Linked DNA regions of Neodiprion lecontei. The main gene of each other region encodes a partner of the protein of the gene in region 2 in a complex. Links are inferred from orthologs where the notes say so. Each region holds a gene or a part of one and is shown on either strand. Other genes may lie near its edges. The genes, in order: RNA polymerase II-associated factor 1 homolog and RNA polymerase-associated protein CTR9 homolog.

Region 1 (10,505 bases), on a different chromosome or scaffold from region 2:
GTTGAAAGCGATGTAAGGCATTGGTTGCACTAAATCAGTAATTCAATATGTGTACGTTTATCTTGTGCAGAAGAATGACGAAATGTGGCAATTTTGCGTTGCGGTATTGCTGCCTTTGTTGCTCTAGTCGGCGTCCTTGCAGATTGTCTATGATCAGCTATTTTAAATGTTTTTCAGATCCGCTTATCTCGGTTTTCATTTCTATACTTCTGCAGAATAGTAACGAAAATGAGACCTAAACAACGTTCGCCTACTCTGTTGCATTCTACTCACGTTTAGTCGTTACATAACGCGTATTCTTTCGACTCGAATGATCACATCGATCAGTACGTGAATATCAATCATTTACCTTTCTCTCCTTCAGTCAATAATCACAGACCACCAAACAGAATTCACCCCATGATTACCGCTCGGATAAGTTACAGGTATGTTCACTTACTGAAAAATCCCCCTAGTTTTTTTTGATTTTATCTTCAATCGCGATGTTTAATGTATTTACAAAATCTTTTGCCCACCAGATATTGCATTCGAAATTTCGAGTTCCAATAGCAGTCCAAATACCATGAAGTTACAGTGGAATTTGGGGCAACATAAGGCACTGTGGTACTTTGCTGGATCGTTTTTGATCAGAATTGCATGCTGCCACCGCGGTGATTTGTTACGTACATAGCTGAGCGACTGTGAAGGATTCGACCCTAAAGTCTGCTATCCACTCGACTCATAGTGAAAGATATGCTGGGTCAATGAAGAAATGCATATGTCGAGTCATCATTTTATCCGTATGAATGTTGTTTGTTGACGTCTTATAACAAGTAAATATCGGTGGGCGATTGGTGTTACTTTGGGTCTAACAGTTCTATTTGATTGAAGTTGTTTCATTCGGTTATAGGTGTGTAGAAGCAGGATTTTCTCGCGCTCATACTCTGGTTACATCATTTTTCGGATTTCATTCAGGCCAATTTGGTGTAAAATTAAGAGGTACTGGAATGTATTGAATTATTGGTTCTTACTGAGAATAAGCTGGTAGAAATTAGTGACTGACAATGAGTTGCACAAAAGTATTTGGGGTGCATTTAATGAAAATTGTTTTATTAAAAATTGTAACTACCATTGACATATTTTATATAAAATCCCTAATATGTTAATTGTAGTCAATGCAGATTCTGTACATCACCAAAGTTTATCATGAACAAGGCTACCAAACAAACAGATAGCCCCGTAATTAAGCCTAACGAAATGTTGCACACTTCCTTGATTATCTTATTTGCGAGTGAGTGGGAGACTAACGGTGACAGGTAATCGATTGCTCACTTATGCTAATAATACAATTAAACTTATAGTCCAGATCACTCACTATCGGAACCACTGTCACTGCTACCCGAGCCACTCCCGCTGCCACTTCCTGAACCAGACCTTGATCTTGATCGCGATTTAGATCTTGACGGTGACTGCGATGGAGACTTAATGGGCGAACCAGAACCAGACCGTGATCGGGATCTGGACTTGGACCGTGATCGAGATCTGGACTGAGATCGTGATTTTGAAGTACTTCTAGATTGAGCAGATCCCGAACGAGACCTAGACTTGCTGTGAGATTTTGAACGGGAGCGTGACTTTGAACGAGACCTAGATTTTGAACGCGATCCAGATTTTGATCGAGATCTTGATTTTGAACGTGATCTTGACTTTGAACGAGATCGTGACTTCTTACTGGATGCTCGCGAAGATGCACGCGACGATGCACGGGAACCGCCTTCATTATCAGAGCCAGCTGAAAAGTACACAAATAGGTTTCATTATCATTCAGAAACGGATGTTATACATAATATACATTCAAACTCTCGACTTTAGTCTAGACAAAGTTCTTTCCAAGGTATTAAAAACGACGAACAAAACATTATGGTTACTGGTCAAAGAAAAAGTGTTTATTTTACACGAATTTTCTGTTTTCAAAAGAACTTTTAAATGTCTCGGTATACCTTTGTCTTCAGCCTTTTCAGTTTCTTGTGGTTGTCCCTCTTCCTCTTCCTCTTCTTCCTCTTCCTCTTCCTCGTCATCTTCACAGGGTGGTTCAAGCTGCTTCTCACGATAACGTTGCATCCTGAATTCATTGGCATTCAATGGTCGGTGGCGCACAACTAATCTTGTGTTATTAGGTGCCTGACCAGCCTTCTGTCTACGCTTGCTAAGACGTACTCGAGTTTCCAGCTCATTGTAGTAAACCTATACAGTGAAAAGACGATATAATGTGAGAAATTTTGCACTTTCGAAATACTAGACTACTAAAAATTGAACTTATTACAGTATTCTTGAGTTCGATATCGCTTCAATTTAAGACATAAGAATTAATATACCGAATTGCGATTTTGTTAAAAAAGGTATACAAATATTACAAACCCCGTCCTGACGCATGACAAGGAAGTAATTCTCTTCGTATCCCTTTGAAGCTTTGCTTTTAACGTTCCAGTTATACTCTCTTGCCATTTTGTACTCGTACTCCTCATCATCGGCATAGTCAATTTCTGCAGTGAAATCTCTGCGACGTTTTTCTAATGTCTCCTCTAGTGGTAAGAAGTACGCAACGAATTGTTCACCACTTTCGTCCATCACACCTCTGCAGAAAGGTATGAAATATCAAGTTAAAGACTGTCGTAAAATCCAGTTGGGATTTACAAGTTTGCCTGCACAAATTCTCAAGTTTACCTGATCATCGCCTGCGACATTTCCTCAATTTGCGCAGGTACTGATCGACCAGTCGGAGCTGGATCGGAATCAAATATTACCTGAGCACATGGGTACTTCCATACCTGTGAGTGGTATGAAATAAGCGAGATTAACAAGTGCCTTAATATTCCTAATAATAGGTCCAAAATAAAAGGAAAAATCGTCAGTTATTGCTCACCTTGAAATCAGGATAGATAGGTAATATTTCAACAGGCACAACGTTTGGTTTGCTGTAATGTTTTTCAATTAGCTTTTTATTGTCTTCAAATGTTTTCTCTATAGCTTTTATCTGACTTTCTCGATCCATGTATAATGTTTCCTCCTGTCAACAAATAAAATCATGCATTACTTGAAATGCCACACATCATGATTTGACTTTGACATTAGAAAAACAGATATCATTACCTTGAAATTCTTTTTAATACTGTAACCAACTTTAGCCTCAACCTTGTCCATAGTTTGGGGTTGAAACCGTGTCTGTTCAGTGGAGATGTACTCCGTACGTCTGAGCCATGATACACTCCGCGCATGATGCCTAGAACGTTTTGAATCTTGAGGAGTGAGGATGTCTTCTTCCAGAAGTTTCTCGTCCGCAGGATCAAGTTGGGCGTTAATATCTCCAGCATAGGTGTCCCGGTTTATTAAGTCAATCTCAACACCCAAATCATGCTCCGTCAATACTTCATATTTATAATTACGTTCCAGAGATGTCGGATTGTACTGTATGAATCTGTATGATTTACAAAGCTCTTATTATATCTGAAGTACTACCAACAAAATAACAGTTTTATTACTTTGGTTATGTCAATATTTTAAATTACATTCCTAAAACAGCTAAAATTCTCTAAAATATCGGGTTATATAACCGGATTTAATCTGCAAACTGTTAGAGTGGACATTTTTTCAATTTCGTAACATTACTCGAGAATTAGATAATTTTAAAGTATACTGGTGCTAATCATTAACCACATACAGTCAAAACTGAATGAGGACTGGGTAAGCGAGAAAACTCTGTAAGTAAGAGTAATTGTCACGTCAGTGAGACAGACCTTTCATGTACCTCTGTAAGCTAGAAACTCGGGTTAGTGAAAAACCTCTATAAGCGAAAAAGAGATTGCAGTCCCTTGAACTCTCGCTTATCCAGGTTCGACTGTATTACAATTATTAGTGAACTGCAACATATGTTAGCTCTATTACCTTGTTGATTCAAATGGATATGTGATGAACTTTGGGTCGAATGGAATATCTGGTAGGGTGTTACAGTACTTTACACGGCATAATAATTCAGACCTGAAAATCACAAGTGAAACATGTTTAATTGAATCGACCAATATTTTCTGCAGACAGGTTGCAATATCAGATTTTGTGCACATTCTTTTTTTATATTTTCTCAGCTTGAAATACAACTGATGTTTGCATTCATGTTTTTTTTTTTCTTCTGTTAATCTTTTAAATCGTTATGTACTAATGTAAGATATATACCTGTTTTCAGCTGGTCTAGGACGTTTATCAATGGCATCTTTATTATTGTTGGACTGAATGCCAGAGGTCATCTGATTCCCACTGTAATTGATGTAAATAGAAAATGTTACATTAATGAACAGGAACATTTTGATCAATTTTTCAAGCGAGGTGAATGATCAAATTTAACGATCATCAAAATAGTTGCATTACGGCAGACAAAGATCTTAGTCTCAGAGACTACAAGTTATAGCAAAATTTGCTCTCTAAGCTATGACATAAATTTGGTCGGGTAAAATGAATCGATAGTTTGCTGATATCATTAACGTTTAGATGCTAGTATACACGGTCTGTCCGGAAAGTAGTCGGACTGAATTTTTCTCGCCCAGATAGAGCGACGGAAAGAGGTCCTTTTCATGTGGGTCGGGTTGTGAGGAGTTTTAGCTAAGCAGCACACCTATCCCCAATCGCCTTCGAGCATTTCCAGAGTGTAGGTCGATTTTAAAATGAACTCCAGTCAAGGTGCCTCGTCACGCTTCGCAACGAATCGTTTATTCGAGCAGCATTGCGCGATAAAGTTTTGTTTTGAACTCAGTTCAACCGCAAGTGAAGCCCATGAAATGATCAAAAATCCCCAGTCACCCTACAGCCCAGATGTAGCTCTTGCAGACTTCCTTCTTTTCCCTCGACTCAAACGGGTTCCGAAAGGATGGCACCACGGCTTGGTCCAGGCCATTCAAGAGGTCGTGACGAGGCACCTTGACCGGGGTTCACTTTAAAATCGACCTACACTCCGGAAAGACTCGAAAGCGATTGGGGACATGTGCGCTTCTTAGCTAAGACTGCCGACAACCCGATCCACACGAAAAGGTCTCTGTCGCTCTCTCTGGGCGAGAAAAATTCAGTTCGACTACTTTCCGGACAGACCCTGTAAAAGGGTGCAAAGTAACGTTTACATGCAGAATTTAACTAGTTTGCTTCAAGAGTATATACAGAAGAGATTTTTGATAGGGTTGTGGCAGTAAAAAGTGTTGGCAGGGAGTTAGAATATATAGCGGTTCATATAATTTACCTCTTCTCAATCGGCCTAGCAGTTCGCTTGTCCCTGTCGTTACTGCTATTTGTCTGAATGGTTGGCGCCATAGCGTAAGTAGCGATGTATTTGTCAATTGCACATATTATTCACGAATTATTATAGGTACTCTAACTAATCACGATACCGCACTCCGATATTTATGAATATTTTTATAACGTATAACCTATAAGTTTTTAACCACGAACATACATCCATCCCCTGTCCCTTAACCACTGTTTACCCTCTCACACTATGCGTCGACTAAGGATACGCAAAGATTGATAGCCTGATGGGACTTTTCGTAATGGAATGTGGACGTGACAAATGCATCGTCAAGCGGCGCCCTCTGCATCCTGCCCATAGACTTATAAAGATAGTCTGAGCGCTCCTACAAGAGGTACTGAAGCTTACATATAAAGGACAGAGATATATTGGGAGGCTGCTCTCTCTTTTCAATCGATTTCATACCGGGAGACAAGGGCGTAGGGAACTGGAACAGCTATAGACATAGGTGCATAATTTCGCCTCATTCTCCTCTACCGCCTCGATCCCCGCCGCAAATATCGTCAGAGAGAGAAAGGAGTACTCCCGGCATATTTCTGTCCTTTAAATTTTTGCTTCAGTCTACCTTTTATAAGTCTATGGTCCTGCCGTGCACGCGCAACCCAATCCGGCAAATGGTTGGTACATAAAGACGACAAGAACTGATGTTACTAATCGTTCACCGCGTGTATCTAGATTTTGCCGAGTCGAATGACGTATCTATCTGTCTATCTATCTATACTTTTCAACTATGCAAGTTCATTTGAGCCTTGCCACATTCGGTAATGTTAATGTAATTCCATCAGATAGACAAAATTAATGTTATCTAAATAGATGCACAATAAATATACACCTGGTTTACTGTTAACAGAGTTAGAAACCTATTCTTGATGCAAATAATAGGAGAAATAGTCGAAGGAGTTAATTTAACCAAAGGAGAAGACATATAGTTATTCCTTACGTAATTTGTGTACTGTGACGCTGATTTTTACTGCACCTCGGCCACCCGGAGATGCGACTGATAACTTACAGCGCGTACAATCATTTGGCGGTCCGCGATGTACGCTGAAAAATAAAGACCATGCAAACGATATCGCGAGATTCTCTTGGGCGCCTGGCGTGGTCAATACTGCTTGAAATCTTTATCTCCACTAAACCTCGGGTAATATTCTCGGTAGTTCAGTACCGCGGCGAGGGGAGGGGTAATTTTGGAGAGAGGGAGAAAGACAGATAGAGAGACACTCGACAACGACACGCTATTTAACAAAAATAAAATAAAATAATACATTTTGCAATAGCGGCGATACAAAAACAAATAAAAAAAAAAGGAATTCAAAATTTGCTCTTCGTGATCCAAAATTAAACAGTAGAAAATTATTCGTAACCCACGCTACTTCTTAATATACTGAGCTTGCAGCCCACTAACCAAAATCTAACTTAATATTTACAAACCTCAAACGCGCAACCCTCAATTCGAAACCTGGACACTTTAACGCTACAGCAATAATTGCTCGAAATCGAAACTATAACTATAATTTCTCGATGGTTACTTTATATTCCCCTGGTTTGTTAAAAATACAGTTTCTTTGCATCGGAAAACCCAGACCATTCTACACAAAAATACTACTTGTCAATATTTTTTAGAAATAAGGCAACATTCGATTGTTACTAATATTTGAGTCCATGCTGTAACAAACCCTGATGATCCTTAGGCAATCATTATCTCAAAAGTAATAAAAAACAAATGTAAAGATGATCAAGGTTCCTTTTTACAACTTCTACTCATTACCTGGTTAGTTTACGACTCTGTCCGCTGACCTCCAAACACAGGATTGTTCAGAAATTTATTACCAAGTGGCCCAGATTATAATTGCCCGTATCTGTCCGCTTTATTATACATTTATGGCAGTGCCCGTATCGATTATTAGGAATTGCGAGTTTGAGAATATAATACATATACCCGACGAAGTCGATACTATTTTACCCGTAATTTCTGCATTTTACTGATAACCCTTAATAATAATATTAGGGATGTGCCGGATAGCGATTTGGCCGGATATCCGGCCATACAATATCCATCAGTAAGGAGTCATTTTTGAATTTTATTTCTTCAGGAAAGTGAACTACATTACAATCGAGATACCTTTTGTAACAAGAAATCCCATACTGAATGGTAATTTGCGGACACCTCGTAAACTTTGACGATATTTTTTAGTCAGAATTATAGGAAATGCTCATATTTTTAAGATGTTATTCATCACAAACTATTTATCTTCTACTATTTTCACCAGGAAATATTGTCAAAGTGTACGAATTGTCCACAAATTACCTGTCAGTACTGGAATTTTTTTTACAAGAAGATTCTCCATATAGTAATAACAATATGACTTGCAATTGTGTCGTTCAGGACGAAAGTTGAAAGTTTACCGAGTGTTGTAGTGTTGAGGAGGTAAAATTTATAAATTATTATGATTAAACGCGAATGAAAATGATGCATTGATCAACTCGGTAGAAAATTACTAGTTAATTAAATGTTGAAAGTCCGAAAGACAGAACTTACAGTATGAATCCAATTTTTGGAACATGCAACCCAAATTTACATAGACAAAAAGTGACATTGATAAATAATATCCGAATAAGGTTTCGCCGATATAAAGTAAATTAATAACAATTGAACGTTATTTAATGCAGCTCAATCCTACGTTCCACTAATAAAACTTTTTTGAAAAACGATGTCAATTAATTACAATTCTAAATTGGATATGAGAAACTATAACGACTGATACCACCTGAAGATGGATTTTCCGGATTATTTGTAATCAAATCCTTATCAATTATATACGGATGGTTTCATGCTGAACTGTTTATCGCTCGAATGAATGCGTCAAAGGTCGTACCAAGAAGTTTGGAGACGTGCACTCTTTAAATTACGATATTTCTGTGAAAAACACATAGCGGAAAAGTTGTAAGACCGTTCGGAAGCTTCAAAAGTGTTCTGCTTCCAACAATCGATTGGTCTTTTCTGAGACAATATTCTGACGTTAGCATCTCACCAGTAATAGGTTGTACATCGTATTTTTCAATTTATTGTTTATTTTGCAGACTTTTGCCGTAGTTGGAGAATAACACGGAACACCCCCTAACAAATCGGAGCCTTGCTCCAGAAATTACTTATTGTTAAACTAATGTGTTAAAATAAGTAATGAACTGAACCTTGAACCAGACGACTTCATCGTTTACGCGTAATCACACGTCACTAATCACTAATCCTTTACGCAGGGAATGGACAGTCGGAATAAAGAATTAGAATGAACTGGCAATACTAGTTTAAATTGATATCAATTACCGTTGAGTGTAAAATTGTTATTCGTAGAAAGTTGATTCTGATATTTGACGAATGTTACTGTTAACTGAATTAAATGTTTTTAATTTCTCTGCAAAGTTTAGGCTGTAGTTTTTTACCCTGCTTCACCCATTTGCAAAATCATGTATATGCACATCTAAACTCCTGGAAGTTAAGTTTTTCGATATTTTTCAACAGTTTAAACTGCATCAATTTGAGTCGAGGTTTGATCAGTAATATTTAGATTGTACGTTTCTGATGTTTCGCAGACTTCTCGCATAGTTTTGCAAACAAAAACACGTCTCCGACATACCTATTTGATTGACATTTATTTATCCGTTGTATAATTTCGGCGTACGTATTTCTTGCACGAGATTTTCTCAACTTTTCAATTTTGCGATGACGACGATATGTTACCAACGTTTTGCACGCGATAATTGTTGGTTATGAAGAACTTCTTTTACCGGCATGATCAATTACTTGGTTGATAATACGTGAAACTGCTAATACCCCCAAACCCGGCCAGACCCGGCAAACCGTTACGAAAAATAACCCAGGGTCTTGGCATGTTTATGTATTCCTAAATTCTTGAACCTAACTTCACGAACGTTAGGCTAAATTTTCATGCAGCGACACAAGTTTCGGGCGCGTCATCGGAGAAGCATGCCGAGTGTTGCATTTACTTTTGATTTAGCGAATAAAAACAGCAATTTTTACCGATATACTTTTTGAAACTTAATATATTCATACGTATTCTTTATACATATTTGTTCTCTGCGGTCGGTTAAAGTTTTAACGCGTGCGGGATATTTACAAAATAAAACTCGAAGAATTGTTGATTAAATTATATATATATTTTCAAAGGTACAGAAAAAGTTTTCAGATTCCCAAAAATGAAGGTACGTAAGTAAAGATCGATATTTGTTTTCGGGATTGGAATTATTTTAAACCTGATTCACTGTTGCTTGTAAAGTTCTACTGGATAATGTTCTTTGTACTGGTCGACGTGCTTTGCCATCGCTTCCGATTGTTTCCTAAAATAAATCAAACGTTTACTCCATTAGCTCCCGATTGTTTCACACGTTCAGTTATCTCGCATTGATCGTACAAAGTAAACGTACTTAATATGATCTGGCATGTTGTAGTACACGTCAGTGAACACCTCCTTCCAGTTGGGTTTTACGTTCTTTTCGGCCGCTGCAAAATCCGATAGTATCTGCTTTTTGATCGACGATACGAATTCTTTTTCCTGCTCCTCAGACCACAATCCATATTTTTCTAGGCACTGGCGAAATCTTGCGATCGGTTGCAGTTTTTCCCATTCGGCAATCTCGCTCACTGATCGATACGCAGAACTGTCATCAGAGGTACTGTGATGACCAATTCTAAACGCATGAAAAATGATTACTCATTAGCTACCGTAATTTTATCAGAGCGTACAATCGTACTAAACGTCACAATTAAGTGATTATAACAACTACCAATTACAAACAACAAACATCAGTGAACAATATTACGAAGTAATGATTGTTTTATACCGATATGACATTGCTTCGATTAGCACAGGCTTTCCGTTTGCCAAAGTCCACTCTTTCGCTGCACGCGTAGCGTTGTGTACTGCAAATATATCGTTTCCATCGACTCTAATTGTGTTAATACCGTACGCAGGTCCTTTGGCCGCGATACCATCTCCCTTGTACTGCTCACGAGCTGGAGTGGAAATTGCATATCCATTGTTCCGACTAAAAAATTAAATCCTTAAATTCCATTCGCATGTTTAGTAGATGTATTGTTGGCGATGAAGTGTTCAAACTAGTAGTTTTCCAAATTCTGCATCCACTTACCATATAAATATAACGG
Region 2 (11,128 bases):
CCAAGGCGCACACTGTCGCTGAAAACCTGGTTATAATTCCCTCCTTCTCCAAGTCTGGATAGGTGAGAATCTGTACGGTGTTATTGTCTGTTGCCACATAAATTTTATCATTCTGCAATTGAAAACGAAAAATTCTACGTAGTTACAAAGCATTGTTTGAAATTTTTTTGATATTTCACACCTTCGAGACGACGGATATAACTTGTTCGGATATACAACTCGCATCAGGGTCATCGTCCATCAAATTCAACCAGGATCGAACATCACCATCTGATCCACAGGTGAGTAGACCTCCTCTGAAATAATTCCAATAATGATAATGACCAAAAGTATCTTTGAAGCGAGGGATTTACTCCGTAGAAGATGGTATAAACCAATGTTTTGACTACAGTGAAAAATGAGGCTTACTTTTCTCCAGTAAAATAACAGACGTCCGTGTGCCCCTCAGGGTGTGCGTAACGTGATGGTTTCCCGTTCAGGGGCATGGTTTTAAAATAAATAAAATATTCTTGATAAGTAACGATCAAATATTATCTTTACTGAGATGACATGTTATTTTGACTATAATTAGAAAGTAGGAAAATTATTTGTCCGTCGAACCAAAGAGTATATCGGACGAACTTCCAAGATCACGATGCGTCAAAGACAGTCATAACCTCCGATCACATTAACCCGCGCAAAATTGAGGCTGATTGTGTCTTCTGGTGAGAATATTATGAACTGCACTTAACTCAGAAGTTAGCTGCGCCCGCCAGTTTAGATTTCGAATTTTTAAATCCAACAATACACGATCGGTGTCACGTGACTACCTTCGGTCTGAACATTCAACTGTTCCGTTGGATCCTGAGCTGAACGGGTCGGTTTGAAAGTTCAATTCAATTCGAAATAGAAATTAAACTAGTAAACGCTGATATAATTGACTTTCGCTCAAGTATTAGACTGCTTGTAATATGATCGTATGTATAAATAATGTTTAACTCTTTGTAGAAGTTAGGCGAACGAAAGTCAGCCGCAAAGCTGAGCGTGGGACTAATGGAGAGAAAATTTTGGCTTTTTCTGTAATTATATTATATATTAGTGATAAACCTCAAACTAGACTAAATCTACATTGTTTCTTTATAAAAATCTATCAGTCTACAATCAACCGCCAAGATCTTGATTCTTGATCAAAACTTTTGGCAATTTCTGAACGCCGCAAAAGACAGTTGAAAAACGATCGTACCGCCATCTTGACAATCAGTGCGCGACCGTTAAATTCTTCTTCTCTCAAATAATTGCGCTAGAAAAGTTGATACGTTCTTTTCAGAGTCAAAAAATGTTCAGAGTAGACGCGAATTATCGGTTTACATTGTCCATACAATATCTCGGAAATAGGTCAGCTCGCGAAATCTACCAGTTCAATTTGTATTCATTGCGAAAGATCTCGAACATTCCGAGCTGCTTAGCCGCTCGGATTCGAACAGAGAAGTAAAATAACGCGTTCCACGACAATCGTGGTTGTTTTCTCGGTGCTATATGGAGAAACATGAACAGATAAACTACATCTGTGTATTATTCGCTTGGACGAAGCTGTGTGGAGATTCTCATGGAGCCATGCTTGTGTGTACCAGGACTCAAGCTGCAGCTTGAAAATAGAAATAGCAATGGTAAGAACACTTTCTTGATTGTTTGTTAACTGCTAAGTATATGTGTAAATTGCTTAAAAATTTTCACGAAAATTTGATGAAAATAATCAACCGATGATCTGGGATTACTTCTTAACTTTGCTTGATTTAATTGCAGTCACCGCTGATCCAAGATATGCTTCAGAAAGGACTGTAACCGCCTCGTAAATGCTGGACAACTACGTGTAACGGAGGAAGTCACAAGATGCAACAGCGCAGCTGTAGCGGTTAATCGAGAGCTGACTGGTGAGTTTTGCATGCAATATAAATTCTTCGACAGATCTGCCAGTTCGCACAATGGGTTTGCTCTGGGAGATAAATCGCATTGTCTATCGTTGTTCCTTTTTCATGGCGTGGCGGTAGAATTTATACATGTGTTTTCTAGCTCAGATTTGATTAGACTCATCTGTACCTGCGGCGATAATTCAAAGTTATACGAATATTCGAATTAATACTTGCCATTTGCTGAATTTGATGCAGCATTGTAATAGCTATTTATTATATTGTGAACGTCAAATATGTACTCGTTCCAAAGCGGTAAGCATAGATACGCGACAAGAAACCCGCTGCTTTACTAGGCTTGTAACAACGATGAGCTGTAACAATTCATTGATAGTAATTATTCATCTTTTAAGCTGCAAACTTCTCTGTGGTCCCATTCAAGTTTCAATTTTCGTCAAAACTTTTCACTAAATTTGTTTTTTGGATAGTAAGGTCTGTGATAAAAAAGGTTGTAAAAATAATAGGCAATCAAATGAATTCTTGTGTGTGATATTTTATTGATGGTTTCAAGGCGGGTAATTTTTTTTTCCACTGATACACAGAGTTTACAATAATTTCAATCCTGTATAGGTAAAATGTAACAGTTGTTAGATTTCTTTGTTGTTTCAACTCCTAAATTATCACAAATTTGTCGTTCTTAACGCTTCGATGATATTAAAACTCACATCATCGATGCTAATTCAATACGTTCTACTTACATAAATATATTTCTTTGCTTGCAAATTTGGCAACTCTGTTTTTCAGTAGCTAGCACGAAGGGTAACTCATTATCGTTAGTGTGAATGGTTCATTCCTTATTCGACTCACATACAATTACTCCTAGTTCCAATAGGCTTAGTATCAATTGAATAGTTTTGTCACTTTCTCGTTAATGTCATTCTCGCTACCTTCGAAATAGACACCATAGGTTTTGATCCTAAACCATTGGTTTTTATAATATTGCAAGAGTATTTTCAGTTTTTTTGTGCTAGCATGGTCTAGTTTATACAATTTGAAACTGAAGAGTACCCTTCGAATACCGATAAGACGTTGGCCAACTTGTGAATTGAGAATTAGTGAAAAAAATTATTTTTCTGATAATTAGGTTCAGGAAAAACTATAATAAAATTGGATATTGTATAGGTAGTTAAGGTAGTAATTATTAAATTAATGACAGTGAAATTGTCAGTTTTCAATTACTCACTACCGCTCTGTCCACCTCTTTGCGGACTCGAATGGCGAGAACCATCTTCGCTGCCAGATATCGATTTCCGAGACACAGGACTTGCGGATCTGTGAATATATTTCTCAATCAATAATAATAAGCAAGGGTTGTAAATCATCCAAGTCGGACTGGTGTAGAAATGAAGCATGAAAAGCATCAAAAATTCGAAGTATATTCGAAAATTGGAGTGGTAATCAAATATATAATTTTCTATCGTACCTTGCTGATCCGCTCGCACTTCTACTCCTGGAGCCACTTTTTGATCTCGATCTCGATCTTGATCCGGACCGTGACCTACTCCTACTCTTGGACTTGCTTTGGCCTGAGCCTGATCTTGATCGTGATCGTGACCTTGATCGCGATCTTGACCTTGATCCTGATTTCGATCTGGATCGTGATCTTGAACCAGATTTTGATCTTGATCTCGATCGTGAGCCGGATCCGGATCTGGATCTGGACCTAGAGTGACTTTTCCTCGAGCCACTGCTTCCTCTAGATCTGGATCGCGATCTCGAACCACTTTTTCTTGATCCGCTGTTAGATCTGGAGCGTGACCGTGATTGATTTCGCGACCTCGAGGCACTTTTGCGAGATGTAGATCTGGACCTAGATCCACTCCTGGATCGTGAACCGCTTCTTGAACGCGATCGGGATCCACTCTTTGAACGGCTGCTAGACTTTGACCTAGAACGAGATCTGGAACGTGAGGCACGAGAACCTTCGGACTCCGATGCGATTCTACGCCTTCCTCGCCCTGCGTTTTCTTCCCCGCTTTCGTTTCTGAAATATTAGCGAATTAAAATTAGACAATGGATCATCACAGGCATCTACAGTGAAATGAAAATACAGAATGATCACTCACCCGCTTGCCATGTTAGGCCTTTCATTATCGCTCTCAGATTCACTTGTCGAAATAGTTTCTTTAGAAACAATTCGCATTTTTTGTTTACTTGATAAATCAGCGGTGCCACTCTTGCGAAATCCTTTACCTTTGTTACTTCCTCCCGCTTTTCTGCCACGTTTAGTTTTCGGTCGATCACTTCCCGAACCTGTAGTTCATAAATGGGACCGATTTGTTAATGATTACAAAACATTCAAAACAGGATTTAAGCAGCCAATGAAAATATCAATTTATATTACTGATGTTCAAACTTACCTCCACTTTCTCCGCTGTTAGCATGCCTTTTCCTTCTTCCCTTTCCTGACGATTTCCGTTCCTTTCTCTCACCGCTGCTCTTTCTCTTGCGTTTTTTTTCTCTGGGAGCTGAATCTTCGGTACGTTCATTTCTATCTGAGCCACTATCGCTTAGATATTGTTCAGACCTTACTTTCCTACCCTTCTTTGTAGGCTTTTCTGATGGCATGTCACCAAATAGTAAAACATTTTTCGTTTTCTCCACATACTCTTGTCGTTTTTGTAACATGGCTTCTGATTTCTGGCGACGCATATCTTCCACCTTTTTCTGTTCTTCCGTCTGGCGTATTCTGAAGGCTTGTCTGTAAAAAAAAAAAAAAAAAAAAAAAAAATGAAAATGAAAATGAAACATTGAAAACAAATCGATTCACAGCATATTTCCATGTAGAAATTTTCGGCGCTTATTTATTTGAAAATTAACAGGAATGCTTATCCAATTGTTACCTTTCTTCCTCCTGCTTTTTTCGGAGGATTTTTTCCTCCTCATCCAGCCTTCGTGCTCGAGCAACGTGGTATTGCGCTTGCGACAGCAAATCCTGACATTTTCTTGCCTCAATTTCAGCAAGTTGATCCATTTTCTCACCCTGCATACCCAGGAATTGAAAATATTTGTGGGATAATCCTAATTCATGTACAGCTTGCAATACAATAACCAACGTCGATTTTTCATCCTTCAAAATTTGCGTCGCCAATCTTTGTAGGACCAGAGCAATATTGTACAACAGTAATGTGTCTTGGGGAGCTACTCTGCGAGCCTGGAATTTCGAGTAAATATCAGACGCGTCAGCGACGGAAATGAATAGAAAGAGTCATGTGTGACATTGCTGTTCCTATACCTTTAACAAAGTCATTTTAGCTTCCCTCAGTTTTCCAGCTTTGAAATAAGCTCTGCCCAAGTATTGAAGAACCTCTACGTGATGATACTTGTAGAATTTACGCAAGCAGTTTTCATACTGAAATAAAAATTAGTTTCAAAGCATGGTGAATAGATAAAACGATATTCGTTAATTCGTAATACCAACCATCTGAATAGCACTGACGAATTGTTTTTGCTCCACGTAAATGTGAGCAATGTTCAACCAGACATCGCAAAATTCAGCTGTTGCTTCTCTGACTTGGGCAAATATATCTCTGGCCTCGTTGACGCAACCTTTGTGAGCAAGTACAGCTCCTATACCGTTTGCGGCCCAAATATTTCTTGGATCATTTCTTAATACCTGAGAAATTCGATCATATCTTTTGAGTATAGCTTCGATCCACAAGGCTTTTCACGGTCATTAAAAGGGGTGATACTCACTTGCTTGAACATGGCCAAGGCTCTGTCCTGGTGCCGTTTTTCTCTGTCCTTGTCTTTCCCGCTTTGATGAAGAGTCTGCAGCCAAATATTACCCAAGGCAATAAGCGAGTAGGCATCTGTGCTGGTCGTTGGACTTTTCAGGATCCGTTCAAATTTTTTTTGTCCCGGTCCCCACTCCATTTTAGCCAAATGTAAGTTTCCCAAGAGTGACCAGGCGTCCGGATGCTCGTTATTTATCCTCAAGGCATCTTTGAACCAATCCGAAGCTTCGTAAATTTGACCCTTATCTCTGGCCATGCAGCCTAACCGCAAGTAGCAGTCCACATAATTCGGGTGTTCTTTTAAAATGTCTTTGTACAGTTTTTCTGCCCGGTCAAATACGCACAATGCTTCGTTTAGGCGAGCCAAATTATACGTCGTAGTGACTGCAATGGAATTGTAATAAACAGGATCTTGTTCAGCGTCAGTTTTCGACCTGGCCAAAGACTCCTCCAGGTTGTTTCTTGCCTCTTCTAAATTTCCAAGTCTAGTAAAACAGAAATTCTTTACTTCTGCAAACTCAGTTACAAAGGAGAATATACAATTCAGCTTCGACCTACCTGTAATGAAGAGCACCGACGTTATTAAGGATTTCAGGTGGAATATCAGCCTGAACTTTGTCTTTAAGAATTCTGGTGGCTGTAGCATAAGCATTCAATGCAGCCGTTAGATCGCTTTGCTCCAAAATCTGAGCCAATTCGATCCACGCTTCGACATCGTCGGGAAATTGCTCCGTTACTTTTCTCAGATGACTTTTGGCTATGTCTCTTTTCGACTGGGAGCTTGAGTTGGCGTACAAAGAGCCAAGAATTTTCATTGTTTCGTAATTGCCGGACTGGGCTTTCAGAACTTTTTCAAAACATTGCGCTGCCTGGAGGGAAATGAATTTGATAGAACACACGAACAAGTTCTTAGGTATACAAGTAACCTCTTGTCGGAACAATTGCGTTGTCTTACATTCTCGGCATCTCCACGATAGACGTACATTTGACCAAGGCCAAAATGAGGCAGGACGAAAACCGGGGGAGCGAATTGAGTCGCCTGATAATAGTATTGAAAGGCTTGGTCGTAATCTCCCTGAAAATATTGCGTTTAACGTGTAGTAAAGCGGCAGCACCGTTCAGAAAAGACTAAAACCGTTACCGCCGAGGTAGGTATTTACCTGGACGTGAAAGGCTCTGGCGAGTTGATAGCAGCTCTCAGCACGCATAGCCTCGTTTTCGGTATTATGAAAAGCGTGCAGAGCCAAATGTTGTACTTTGTTGTAATCTTTCTTGAAGAAGAAATGATTCGCCAAATGGTTCAGAACCATCGGATTTGTCGAGTCTATCGTGTAGGCCTTGGACAACATTTGAACACCCGTTCTGATGCTGTCCGGCTGCTGCTGATTCAATTTAAGTACCGACAGGCCGACCAGAGCTCCGACGCATTGCGCGTCCAACTGCAAAGCTCTCTCAAACGCCATTTTGGCTTTGTCCTGGTTACCCAGTTTCATAAAACAATGTCCCATTCCGAGTCTGACCGCCGCCGGGCAATTGGGATTCGTCCTGAGTGCCTTTTTGTAAAATGCCAAAGCTCCGCGATAGTCTTTCTTGTTAAAAGCTATACACGCCTTCCCCAAGAGCGACGGAATGTTGTTAGGCGATTGGTTCAGAACGAAGTTAAACTGTGCATCTGCCTGTTCCATTTTGTCCCCTTCGAGGAGGCAGAAATAGGCTCGACCGAGGAGATGATTCTGTAGGAATAATAAAACAAAATTAATCCTTGCCTGCTTCTGTCACGTTTCTACCTCAAGGTGGATCCAAAACTTACCTGGTCGTACATGATAATTTTGTCCGCCGTAGTGTAGAGCAACGTTGCCTTGGTGAAGAGATCTCTCTTCTTGTCCTTGTTCTTCTCGCGATTCGCCTCCTGGACGTAGTACGCGGCCAGCATGTCCAGTGCTCGCATCTGGTCTTTTTCATAATCCCTGTAGTCGATGTTTGCGTCGATCCTCGACGACTCCAGAATCTTAATAAAATCCTCGATCTTCTGTTGTTTGTAATACTCGAGCTGTGCGTAAAGAAATATCAGTCGGTTAATATTTATACGTCTAATTGGTAAACGGTGACACGCCTAATGTAGGGCCTAAATCAAAGCAGAACTCTCACCGCCAGGTTGACCCAGATGCTGAGCTGGGCATGTTCCTGCCGCAAAATACCGAGAACCTCATCGCCGTCGGGTAATTGATCCAGGTACAATTCGATTACCTAGTTGCGGAAAGAGGAGTTATTCATCCGTATTGCGAATTGGGAAGCGTGGATTTGTAAGTTGCCTCGATAGTAAATGATACACAACGAGTGCGTCGGTTTTCTCAGGAGAAGCCCCGCTCGTCTAGGTTATGTTGGGTGTGTTTGACACGCAGTCGGCTCGTTTACGAACAAGATACGCGGGCCTCGAACTTGGTTGATGAGAAATCGAAACCAGCTTAATTGGTCGTAAAATAAGGTAGATATTATGAAAATTTACCTCGTCCGTATCACGAAGAGGTATCTCGATGCTCGCCATCGCTTCGGCCTTTAGCGCTCGCCACGGTCTCGCTACGATCGCTACTGAAGCGAATTGAATAGTGAGACGAGCGAGACATCGTTGCCGTGAATGAAATCGGCGCTTGCGCGAAACGTGACACGGTGTACTTTTCAATCGCGTTATTACTTTCCGCACGTTTTCTTTTCAAAAAGAATTTATCGTATACACCGTGAATTTCTTTCTGTTGGAATTTATTTATTTAAAACGGTATTTCGAGTCTTGCAGTTGGATTATACAAAATTTACAAGATATACCACACTATTCAGGATGTGTATAATCAGTTTTTGCTGGTTTCATTTTTTTTTTTTTTTTTCTACAGTCCTTGAAGTATTATATTTATTTCAAATTGAATCCACATTAATTTAAACACAAATGATACTTTCCTATTTATATAATCATACGTTATAATAGGGTTACATAAATTACAGTTTGAAGATAACCATTTTTTGTTTTTTTTTCGTATGTACACAAATTTCAACACAATTGTTAATCAAAGAATTACAACTTATTAATTACTGCAAGACGTGAAATTGAATCTTGAAAATCACGATAAATAATATTAATAATCGTAACGAATGTAGATAAAAAAAATTTCCTGTGCCGTGTATGGATTTCATTCGTTTTGTTTTCTTGTGCGTCTTGTTGTGAAATCGAATTTAAAATGATCATTGACATTTGGCACATTTTTTTTACTACTTTAATTACGAAGTTTTGTTATATTTTGGTTAAAAACGTCTTTTTCCGTTTCGTTATAGCTTTGCATTTTTCATTTTATATTTCTATAAAGTGGCATTAACGTTTCAATTATCTAAATGCTACTCTAAACGTATGCAGTATTGTATCGTAATAATTAAATATTTATATCAATTACGGATCGATCATACATCGACAACATTATACCTAATATAATTAGCGCCTGAATTTCTTATTATCATTGTATAATCATTATTGTAAATACAAATGTTAAGTCTGTTGCTTTCGGGTGATGATTGTGATGTTTTTATTCTTTGCGTCGACGTGTATATGATAATTAATGTGTGCGCGTGAAGTTTTGCGTTTGAATAATGGATTTCGAATTAACTATACGCACAGTACGGTGGTAAAATTGTCTCATCATGTCAATGGATAATTATTAGCATGCCGCACCACCACCGTTCGTCGTTACCGTCTGAAACAAAATATTACGCAGTCATACGAATGAAATTTAAGGGAATATTCTTTTTCCAAAACCAGTTCCCGCACCTTTAGATTCACCTGACTGCCATAAAACGAAGTAAAGGCCGTGTCCGAGCTGACGCTCAAAGGAAGACTCGTGGCGTCGATGATGGCTTCTCGTTCGCTGCTCAGCGTCGAGGCGCGTAAATCGAGGGTACCGCTGACAGCCGACATTCCTGAACTCGTTGCCATTTCAACTTCACCAACGTCGGGATGTGACATGTGTCTTAAAATAATGTCGCTTTAATCGATCGTTGTAAAATATTAGCCAAGTAAACACGGAGGGGTGGACGCGCGCCACAGATTCCATGCTTTAAACACACCTGCTAAATCGACAAGCTTGAAAATCGACGTCAACTATAGGTTTAAAGCATAAAATCCGTATAGCGAATTTTACTAGCTCGTACCTGTAGTCCGGGGCCGGCTGCTCGACTTGCTGTCTTCTTGAACTTGACGAAATCGGTGTCCGTTGAATCGCGTAAATATATATGCCGCTCATCGTCAAGGTGTAAGAAACGAAGTAGAGCGTATGAAACTGGAAAAGTAACGGTGTGAGTACGAATCGACCGAAAGCACGTTTGATAAGGGACCGTTCAACTATCAGCCGACGTATTTTTTTGCAAATTTTTGTATTTCCTACCAAGTGATAACTTGTTTTGCCCAGCCACTGTTTTTCATCGTTAGCTAACGCGTTTTCAAAAGTTTATTGGCCAGCGTTATTATTTGTGTTAGCGTTGGCTGATACTTGAACGGCCCCTAAGATACCGTGATAAAAAAATAAGAAAAACACCTTGTACTGGTTCGTCAACATCCCGAATAGAATGTTGAAGAAATCCGCAGTCAGGAGTGCGAGCTGAAGCGCAGTTGCTCCTGATTCGAAAAGGATCACAGGTACAAGAGAGTAAAACACGAACTGAGTGATGCAGTAGAGGATGAGGAACGTTATTACAGGAGCGTTGTCCCAGCAGAATGATTCCAGTTGTAGCCGCTCGAGAACGCCCCTGATTTAATTATAACAAAGACAAGTCGCTTCGCTGGATTGCAGTGTTCAATGTTAAAATGTCGGTAATCACTTACACTTGCATGCAGCTGATGATCGTGCCGAAAAATCCTATCATTCCCAGGTACTCTATGATGTCAACGGTCTTTACGGCCAGTTCCTGGAGGACTGTTATCACGGAGAACAAGATCGCGCCACCCAGACAGAGCATGTCACCGACGAGTTGATTTTTGCCTTAAAAAGACAAAAAACAAAAAAACAATCAGGATTCCCCCTTTTGACGTTGACGGATCATGATCGGAACCAATTTTTCGACTCGATAAAGACAAACCAGTCATAGCTGTTGAGTCCTTGTCGTCCTCGATGTCCGCCCACACCAGGCTTCCGATGGCCATTAGGCAGACCGAAACTCCGATAATGTGCACCATCCTGTATCTGACTCCCAGAACCAGGCAGGATAGCGCTAAAGCAACTGGAATTGCCACGCAGTCCAACAATAAGAGCTAACAGAGAAAATGGATGTGATGATCGACTTGATAAACGTAAAAAATAAAAAACTAGGAAGAAATCTTGAACCCACTTGTATACTGGCGAGGCTTGTGAACTGATGAGAGGCCGTGACCAAGGTTTTCGCCTCGACGTCGATCAGCGCGAGTAAAAGATA

The links.
Region 1: RNA polymerase-associated protein CTR9 homolog (region 2) and RNA polymerase II-associated factor 1 homolog share a complex: the UniProt entries of both Caenorhabditis elegans proteins name them as parts of the PAF1 complex. The link is inferred for Neodiprion lecontei from reciprocal best matches to the Caenorhabditis elegans genes ctr-9 and pafo-1.

The regions. Positions count from the first base shown.
Region 1 is NC_060263.1:34,356,938-34,367,442, reverse strand, and holds RNA polymerase II-associated factor 1 homolog, read right to left. Parts: upstream 5,542-10,505; 5' UTR 5,329-5,541; coding exon 5,258-5,328; intron 4,288-5,257; coding exon 4,207-4,287; intron 4,015-4,206; coding exon 3,922-4,014; intron 3,455-3,921; coding exon 3,130-3,454; intron 3,047-3,129; coding exon 2,903-3,046; intron 2,808-2,902; coding exon 2,704-2,807; intron 2,615-2,703; coding exon 2,398-2,614; intron 2,224-2,397; coding exon 1,980-2,223; intron 1,772-1,979; coding exon 1,347-1,771; 3' UTR 1,062-1,346; downstream 1-1,061. Other genes in the region: 2-oxoisovalerate dehydrogenase subunit alpha, mitochondrial, read right to left, coding at 9,601-9,679, 9,767-10,030, 10,184-10,387, 10,490-10,505. UniProt on the Caenorhabditis elegans protein: Component of the PAF1 complex which is a multifunctional complex involved in transcription initiation via genetic interactions with TATA-binding proteins, elongation and transcription-coupled histone modification.
Region 2 is NC_060266.1:25,828,075-25,839,202, reverse strand, and holds RNA polymerase-associated protein CTR9 homolog, read right to left. Parts: upstream 8,303-11,128; 5' UTR 8,229-8,302; coding exon 8,190-8,228; intron 7,931-8,189; coding exon 7,832-7,930; intron 7,734-7,831; coding exon 7,494-7,733; intron 7,417-7,493; coding exon 6,844-7,416; intron 6,759-6,843; coding exon 6,639-6,758; intron 6,553-6,638; coding exon 6,242-6,552; intron 6,169-6,241; coding exon 5,643-6,168; intron 5,563-5,642; coding exon 5,368-5,562; intron 5,299-5,367; coding exon 5,182-5,298; intron 5,101-5,181; coding exon 4,790-5,100; intron 4,648-4,789; coding exon 4,307-4,647; intron 4,200-4,306; coding exon 4,013-4,199; intron 3,931-4,012; coding exon 3,370-3,930; intron 3,219-3,369; coding exon 3,122-3,218; 3' UTR 2,420-3,121; downstream 1-2,419. Other genes in the region: WD repeat and HMG-box DNA-binding protein 1, read right to left, coding at 1-112, 182-296, 409-485; solute carrier family 35 member F2-like, read right to left, coding at 9,382-9,417, 9,492-9,690, 9,872-9,999, 10,255-10,465, 10,542-10,698, 10,796-10,967, 11,045-11,128. UniProt on the Caenorhabditis elegans protein: Component of the PAF1 complex which is a multifunctional complex involved in transcription initiation via genetic interactions with TATA-binding proteins, elongation and transcription-coupled histone modification.